2 linked regions of the Coturnix japonica genome follow. The protein of the gene in region 1 purifies or fractionates together with the protein of each later gene. This does not show direct contact. Links are inferred from orthologs where the notes say so. Each region holds a gene or a part of one and is shown in the gene's direction. Other genes may lie near its edges. The genes, in order: SLC37A3 and ATRAID.

Evidence for each region.
Region 2: the proteins of SLC37A3 (region 1) and ATRAID purify together in Homo sapiens (affinity purification with mass spectrometry; 3 studies listed by BioGRID and IntAct, counting the BioPlex papers as one, with this or other methods). This does not show direct contact. The link is inferred for Coturnix japonica from reciprocal best matches to the Homo sapiens genes SLC37A3 and ATRAID.

The regions. Positions count from the first base shown.
Region 1 is NC_029516.1:55,554,086-55,558,352, forward strand, and holds the start of SLC37A3 (sugar phosphate exchanger 3), read left to right. Parts: upstream 1-1,384; 5' UTR 1,385-1,518; intron 1,519-2,715; 5' UTR 2,716-2,775; coding exon 2,776-2,876; intron 2,877-3,353; coding exon 3,354-3,468; intron 3,469-4,267. Other genes in the region: RAB19 (ras-related protein Rab-19), read right to left, coding at 323-506, 933-1,127. UniProt on the Homo sapiens protein: Unlike the other SLC37 members, lacks glucose-6-phosphate antiporter activity.
Region 2 is NC_029518.1:95,344,187-95,348,641, reverse strand, and holds ATRAID (all-trans retinoic acid-induced differentiation factor), read left to right. Parts: upstream 1-1,564; 5' UTR 1,565-1,686; coding exon 1,687-1,970; intron 1,971-2,862; coding exon 2,863-2,934; intron 2,935-3,043; coding exon 3,044-3,115; intron 3,116-3,185; coding exon 3,186-3,307; intron 3,308-3,389; coding exon 3,390-3,490; intron 3,491-3,567; coding exon 3,568-3,672; 3' UTR 3,673-3,747; downstream 3,748-4,455. Other genes in the region: collagen alpha-1(I) chain-like, read left to right, coding at 4-297. UniProt on the Homo sapiens protein: Promotes osteoblast cell differentiation and terminal mineralization. Plays a role in inducing the cell cycle arrest via inhibiting CCND1 expression in all-trans-retinoic acid (ATRA) signal pathway.

The DNA.
Region 1 (4,267 bases):
CACATCAGGAGCACAGGGTCAGGCTTACAGCCATTCTAACACCGATAGGGTTGTATTTGCTTGCTACGCTACCAACAAGATCCTCACATTATTTCAGCAGGAAAGGAAAACGTGAAGAGATTTCACTGTCTGCAGTGGGCCCCGTCCTACCAGGGTCAGGCTGTGGCTTTCTTTTTAATTATTTGAGATGTGTATTTTCATTATTTTAATTAAAACCACGTTCCCCTTTTAATTAAGAGGTTCACGGGTGCTCTAAGCAACAGTGGGGAGGATTTTGCACATATATTAGAAAAGTTATAAAACATAATATTTAGATTCCTACCAATTAACATCATGACCAAGTTTGCAGCACCATACTTTTCAACCTCATGAATCCAGTGAGGAATAGACTCAAACGTGGACCTCCTAGTGAGGTCGTAGGCAAGGATGGCTCCATGGGCGCTCCTGTAATAGGACTGGGTTATTGTCCGGAAGCGCTCCTGACCAGCCGTGTCCCACACTTGGATCTGCAAGAGAAAGGAATCAAGTTGTGAAGGCCAGTAGATCCAGGGTGGATGTGGCAGTCTGGTCCAGTGTTTGGTGACCCTGTCCATAGCAGAGGGGCTGAAACTAGATGATCTTTGAGGTCCCAAACACCCACAGCTACATCAGGGTACTCAGAGCCTGACTTTGGGTATCAGCAGGGATGGGGCATCCGCCGCCTCTTAGGGTGTCACTGTGCCAGTGCTCCACTATGCTTATGGTAAAACACTTTCTCCTGATGTCTAGTTTAAACCTCCCCTTATCCCACCACAGCAGACCCCGCTATAGAGTCTGTCCCGTTCCTTCTCACATTCCCCCTTCAGACCCCGGGATGCCGCTCTCGATGCGGTAATGGAGGCAGGGCCGCAGTCCCGCCCCGAGGCGCCTCCCAGCCCGCTCCCATCACCCACCTTGACCTTCTTGCCGTCGATATCCACGGAGCGCACGGTGAAGTCCACCCCGATGGTGTTCTGCTGCTTCTCGTAGAACTGCCCCGTCTTGAAGCGGTGCACCACGCACGTCTTCCCCACGTTGGAGTCCCCGATCAGGATGATCTTAAAGAGGTAATCGAACGCGTCGTCCGCGCTGGAGCTGGAGAACGGCATCCCGCAGCCCGGTCCTGCAGTGCCGGCAAAGCACGGGGTGAAGGGCCGTACCCCGAACAAGGGCTGCCCGCACCTCCAGCAGCAGCACGACCCGAACCAGAGCCGCCCCACCTGCACGGCTCACCTGCCGCCCAGGTAGCGCCGCTTTGTACCCCGCCCCGCCGCACCGGGTCGACGGGAAACGTAGTCCCAGCCCTTCCTTCTCCTCTCCCTCCGCCCCTCGGCCGGGGCGGTGCCGCTTCCTTCCCCTCCCCTCCCCTCCCTTCCACGCCGGCTGCGAGGCGGGGCCGCCGGGCGGACTCCCGGCCTACAAGTCCCGCCGTGCCCGTGGACCGACACCGCCGTTCCGGGTCGCCGCTTCCTGAGCGCCGCGGAGGTTCGGCACAGTGCGGTACGGGGGGATGCGGGGCCGGGAGCTGATGGGAGGGGGATGGATGGATGGATGGATGGATTTACGATGCACCTGGCGAGGTTCGGGTCGGGTGTTACGGAACGTTTCCTCTCGGCAGGAGCGGTGCTGTGCTGGCACAGGCTGCACAGGGAGGTGGTGCAGTCACCGTCCCCAGAGGTGTTCCGGAGCCGTGTGGATGTGGCACTGAGGGATGTGGGCATGGTGGGCATTCATCGGTGCTTGCTGAACATCAAAGGGTGGGTGTGAGCACAGAGAGGCTGTGTGTGGTGCATTACAGCAGTGACGTGGAGGACAAGATGCATTCCAGATTGCTGTACACAGTACGGAGTGAAGAGTGTCTCCATTGGTGATAACAACCAGGGAATGGTGTACAGAGCTGAATATTGGTGTCAGCGCATTGGAAATGACAGCGACAGTGTTGGAATAGTGCAGAGTTTGCAGTGTGGGTCCCACGAATGCTCACTTAGGAACAGAAAGAGCAGCACGTGCAACTTCATCAGGACCTGTTGAGCCAGTATGAGGCTGAAGGTGATGCTGCCCTGGATCACACCATCAACTCTGACCACTACATCGTGATGCTGACTGAGCTGAAGGCTCCAACTTCTGGAGTCAGGCCAAAGAAGAAGACAACCTTCCTCCTGCAGCACAGCAGCTGTACCAATCTGAAGACTGTGGAGCACAGTGTCAGTCTTGGCTGGACTATCCTACCACAGCAATTGTATAGTCCTGGTTTGGTGCCTTTTGGCTCCCATCTGCTCAGGCCAGGGGAAGGTGTGAAGGCACTTGTTCATCGATGGTGAAACTGCACGGCCAATAGCGGTGACTGTGTTGAAAAATAGTGTTGCTGAGAATTTGCTCTGTCAAATAGCATTTGACATGGGAAGAGCTGCAGTTGGTAGATCCTGGAGGACTCCTCAGTGATGGGTACTGAGGAATGCAAGAAATACATGGGTTGGAGGATGACCAAGGGGTGCTTGGGGAATGGGAATGAAAAAATGCGAGTTGTCGAGGGATGTACAGCTGATGAGATGGATAGAAACGTGAACTGAAGTGAGGAGGAATAGCAGAGCCATTCCTGCTGAATTCTGGCTGTTTGGTGACCAGCACTGTATTTAGACTTGTGTTTTAATTCGTATGCTTTCTTCTTTTCTCCCTTCCCACCTTCTTCTCTTTAAGCAAGCAGACAAAATGACCTAAGCATCGAGCAACCTTTGCTGCCTGGGCGGGAGCAGGGCCATGGCTGTGCCTGGAAGCTCACGGAGGCAGCCTGCAAACAGAGGCCTGGTGTCCCATTGCACTCATCATCATGTTGTGGTGTTCCTGCTGACCTTCTTCAGGTAGGCTGTGTCCTTCTACAGAGCGGTGTTTGTTTCACTGAACGTGGGGAGGTACAGAGCTCGTCTAAAGAAGGAGAGCAGAAGTAGGGACGTACTCTTATTTTTGGCTCTGAGCCTTGAAAGCAAACACAAAAAGTCAATAGAAACAGCTGGTCTGAGAGTCCTGCAGTAGCTAAGTGAAGCTTGCGGTGCCCTTGGGGAATGCAGCCACCAACAGAGCCCTCACCAAAGGTGAGACTGACTGCCAGGAACACAGCCCGTGGCAGAAGGGTTGTCCTGGGTGGGTGCACAAGACAGATTCTCCCTCTCTGAAGTCAGTGTCTGCCCATGTTTTCGGAGCTCCTGTTGCTAGCAACCATCTCCAAAATGTCAGTTCTCTGTTCCTTGGAGCATATGTCTGACTTTTGAGTCTTGCCCTTTCCCATATGACCAGCAGAGAAGATTTGGCCAACCTGTGCTTGTGTTTTTTTCTGGCAGTTACTCCTTGCTCCACGCTTCCAGAAAGACGTTCAGTAATGTCAAAGTCAGCATTTCAAACCAGTGGACTCCGTCCTGCCTGAACAGCACAACTTTTGAGCTCCGGCCAAATGAGGTAACCAGCAAGTGCTAAGAAAGATGAGTAGATTCCAGTAAGCTTAGGTTGTAGTGCTGAAGAGGCTCTTTTATTTCTTGCTGTCAGGGCTGCTTCTCTGAATGTGTGTGGAAACTTCAGGTTAATGAATGTAGTTTTCTGGATTACCAGCTGGTGTTGAACACTTTCCTAGTGGTTCCCAGAGAGAAATTAGTAAGGAAGTTGGTGTTCTGATTGAGACTGGGACACCCCCCTGCTCATAGAGCCAACAGAACAGAGGAGGTGAGGGAGGGGGAAGGAGGGATCCTGCTTTGAAGTGCCGGAGGCAATAAAGGAGAGCAGTGAATGGGGTTACAGTCCTTTAACATCCTGGCTCTGGCTTTCCGGTGCTGGTAACGATACCGTGATTTTATTAGATCTGCACTTCTCAGTCTTTATGGATTTGTAAGTCGTCTGGGGGTTTTATAATAAGTTCAAACCTAGTGACAAGAGATTTGATTCTCTTACCTTTCTAAGACACTTAATAGCTTGTGGAACTCCAGGAATCTGATAAAAGTTGACATCTACTGCTATAAGTAGGTGCTGGTGGCTTCAAGTGGCAGCGAATGTTTTTCAAGGGCCTTATTAGTTTCCTTTGACATGTGAGACTTAAGCAGAAGCTGTGTTGATTGGCCATATCGAAGTTAAGTCTCTTAAACTAAGCAGTTGTATAATTGGTGCTGTCTGCGTAGGATGTTCCTTTGGGGAGGCAGAATCAAACTAAACCTGACAGTAGTTGAGTTAGATACATTTGTAGGCCAGGTTTGGATTGTTTGCTTGT
Region 2 (4,455 bases), on another chromosome or scaffold:
TTCATGGGCGGAGGGGCCCGGCCGGCAGCGCCCGGCGCTGCGGGAGGTGGCGACGGCGAATCCGGCCCCGCTCGTCCTCGCGGGGACCTTCGCTCCGGAGTTGTCGGCCCGCCTCAAGGACCTGAGGGGGGGGGAACGACGCACCCGGGAGGGGTCACCGCAGCCTTCCCCGCCCCGCTCCCCCGCAGCTCGTCTCCGGGCCAAAGGCGAACGGGGGCGGCCCCGCCCGACGCCGACCCCGGCCCCGCAGCCGGCGAGACCGGCACGGCCGGAGCGGGACGGACGGGCTCGGCGTGACGCGGTCGGGCTCCGTGCGGCCGAACCCGCCGCTCCTCCCGCACTCGTTAAGGCGCAACCCCCACCTGGGGCCGCGCTACGACGGGGCGGGCGGCGCTGATCCGCGCAGGAATGCGGCTCTGGATCGGCCCCCGGTGCCCGGAGCGAGGAGCGGGGGTTGGCGGTGCCGAAAGGAGGCGAGAGGGCAGCGCTGCCCGCCCCGCCCGCACGGCGGGCACGGTCCAAGGTCACCCACCGCGCTCCGAGACACAACACGGGGCGATCCCCCCCCCCCACCTCCTGGCCCCGTGCCCGGCGTTCCCCCCCGGTGCTCCTGCCCCGTGTCCCGGTGCCCCCTTGACCTCAAGGCTTCACTCCCGGTGCCGCCGTGTTCCCGGTCCCCTCGTTGCCCCCCCATGTCCCACGTCCCATCTCCGCTCCCTGTGTCCTGGTATCCCGGTGTCCCCGCTCCCCATGTCCTGGTGTCCCGGTATCCCGGTGTCCCCATGTCCCGTTGTCCCCACTCCCCATGTCCCGGTATCCCAGTGTCCCGGTGTCCCCGCTCCCCATGTCCCCATGTCCCGGTATCCCGGTGTCCCCATGTCCCGGTGTCCCCACTCCCCATGTCCCCATGTCCCGGTATCCCAGTGTCCCGGTGTCCCCGCTCCCCATGTCCCAGTGTCCCCGCTCCCCATGTCCCGGTGTCCCCGCTCCCCATGTCCCGTTCTCCCCACTCCCCATGTCCCCATGTCCCGGTATCCCGGTGTCCCCATGTCCCGGTGTCCCCACTCCCCATGTCCCCATGTCCTGGTATCCCGGTGTCCTGGTGTCCCCGCTCCCCGTGTCCCGGTGTTCCCGCTCCCCATGTCCCGGTATCCCCGTGTCCCGGTGTCCCCGCTCCCCATGTCCTGGTATCCCGGTGTCCTGGTGTCCCCGCTCCCCATGTCCCGGTGTCCCGGTATCCCGGTGTCCCGGTGTCCGCACACCAACTCCCCGCTCCCCTCGTTGTTTCCCCGCCGTCCGCAGCCCGAAGGCCGCCCCGATTCCCGCTGTGCCCCCGTTCCCGCTCCCCGCCCCGCCCCGCGTTCCCGCACCCTCCCGTTCCGTCGCTCCCCCTCCCGTGTGTCCCGTTCCCACACACGTTCCGGTTCCTCCTCCACTCACCGGCCGCTCTCCCGGCTCAGCCCACGTGCACCTGACAGCGCCGCGGCACGCTCTGATGACGTCACGACGCCGAGCATCGCCCTCACCTCCAGCCCAGCTCTCCGCGCGCCCCGATGCCGTCATCGCCCCGCCGTCCAATCCCGTGCGCGGATCTCGTCACGTGGCTGCTCCGGGGTCGGGTCGTCGCGCCTCGGCTCCCTCTGTCCGCGCTGTTCCCGGTGCGCGCGGCCCGTTAATGGCCCGTTAATGGCTGAACCATTGCACGCACACTGCGGCCGTTCCGCCCCGACAACAGGACCAGCCCGACCGGGGCGGGGCGGCGCTGCCGGAAGCGGAGCCGTGGGGTCCCTCCTCCTCCTCCTGCTGCTGTTGGTACCGGAGCCCGGTACCGGCCGAACCGCCCCGCCGCTGTGCGGGACGTGCCCGGGAACGGCGAGAAACGGGTCCATTGTGACACTGTACTGCGGGAACGGCCACGGGAACATCAACGGGCGGTGCTGTGTGCGGGGAGCGGGACAGCAACTGCTGGGGTATGGAGGAGTATAGCGGGGTATAGGGGATATGGGGATACAGGGGTATAGGGGTATAGGGGTATTGGGGATATAGGGAATATGGGGATATAGGGGTGGGGATATAGGGATGGGATGGGATGGGGATATAGGGATGTGGATATAGGGATAGGGGTGGGATCGGGATAGGGATATAGGGATGGAGTGGGGTTATAGAGATGGGATGGGATGGGGATTGGATAGGAATGGGGATTGGATGGTATGGGGATGTGATGGGGGTATAGGGATGGGGATGGGGATATAGGGATGGGATGGGGATATGGGGATGGGGTTATAGAGATGGGATGGGATGGGGATTCAATAGGAATGGGGATGGGATGGGGATATAGGGATGGGGATGGGGCTATAGGGATGGGGTGGGATGGGGATGGGATCGGGATGGGGTTATAGGGATGGGATGGGGTTATAGAGATGGGATGGGGATTGGATAGGAATGGGGATGGGATGGGGATGGGGATACAGGGATGGGGATGGGGATATAGAGATGGGATGGGATGAGGATTGGATAGGAATGGGGATATAGGGATAGGATGGGGATATAGGGATGGGATGGGGATATAGGGATGGGATGGGGATGGGATAGGAATGGGGATATAGGGATGGGATGGGATGGGATGGGATGGGGATTGGATAGGAATGGAGATGGGGATTGGATGGGATGGGGATATAGGGATGGGGTGTGATGGGGATGGAGATGGGATGGGGATGGGGTAATGGGTACGGGTTTGGAGTGTGCTATGGGTATTGGGTACACTACAGGGCACGGCTGTGGTGTGGGTGTGTTGTGGGTCATGGGCCGTGGGGTATGGGAGTGGAACGGGGGAACACAGGGCTCCCGGTGCTGCCCCTCCAGGTTGGACCTCAGCAACTGTTCCCTGCAGACCCTCCCCAGTGAATTCAGTGAGGCCGCGGCTGCCGTCGTGCTGTGAGTGCTGAGGGAAGGGGGAGGTGTGGGGGGGGCTCGGCTGCCCATCCCACCCTGTGCTGTCAGTCAGTGCTGGCCCCGGGGTGCAGCCGGTGTGATGCGTTGGTAGGGACCTGACGGACAACCCGCTGCTGGCGCTCCCCAATGATTCCTTCTTGGGCTTCACGCAGCTGCAACAACTGTGAGTGTGGGGCTGAGCTGTGCCGGGCTGTGGGCTGAGCCCTGTGCCCGGTGCTGAGCTGTGTTTGCAGCGCGGTGCCGCTGGCAGTGCCGTGCCCGGGTGGCAGCAAAGCGTGGGAGGAGGTGACGACAAATGGCAGCAGCCGCCTGTGCCAGGGCCAGAGGAACCCCTGCAACGGCTCCGAGGAGCTCGGTACGTTGGGGCTCTCCCTGCTCCCACTGTAGCCCTGCGTGGCACCGGGCAGGGCGGCCCGTGACCCTGTGCTGCCCACCAGCCCCGCTGTGCCCTGAGAACGCCGTCTGTGCCCCGGACGGACCCGGCCTCTCCCAGTGCCTCTGTGCCAGCCCCTTCCATGGCTACAAGTGCCTGCGACAGGTGGGTGTGGGGCTGGGGGGGCAGGGGGGGCTTGGAGGGGTCAGCAATCTCATGATCTCACCGTGCTCACCTTACAGGGCTCCTTCCCCGTGCCGCTGTTCTGCAGCGTGCTGGGCACAGTGACGGCAGCGCTGAGCATCGCGCTGTGGGGCACCCAGCGCCGACACGCTGCAGGGATGTGACTGCAACCAGGAGTTCAGATGTGGGACGGGGCCGGACGGTGGGGCAGGGGGTTAATAAAGCGTGTGTGGTTATGAGGCTGTCTCTGTGTCACCCCCATTTACAAGAAGGGGAGCAGGGAGGACCTGGGGAACTACAGGCCGGTGAGTCTCACCTCCGTGCCTGGGAAGATGATGGAACAGATCCTCCTGGACAACATGCTCAATCACATAAAGAACGAGCACGTGATCCGAGACAGCCAGCACAGCTTCACCAGGGTCAGGACACGCTAGGTCCTTTGTTCTGACGAGGTGCTCTCAAAGGTCATCAGTACGTCACAACTACTCTAAATGCTGTCTACCAGTGCCTGAGTTCTTCCTACGACCAAAGTGCCACTAACACCTTGCCTTTAGCTGTGCTGACCTACCATTAGTTCCATCGCCGAGCCACGCTTTCCGAGCTGTCAGAGCGTCTCACATCTAATGGCAATCCGTTCTCCACCCGTATCGACTGCACCACTCAGCCTTGTGTTCATGACAGCAAACTTGCTGACAGGGTTGCACTCGCATGTCCCTCATCGAAGTGTCGCCATGTATAAAGATGTTAAAGGAGCACGGTCCCTAAAGACCACTTGGGATCACCACTCGTACCGGCCTCCACATGGAAATAGACGGGCATTGACCACCACCCTCTGTCTGCGGCCTTTCACCATTGCTTATCCATCGGTTGCCACGCATCAAATCACTCCCTCCATGGAGAATGAGGAGGTGCATTTGGGGACCATGTCAAAGGCCTTGCTTCAGGGT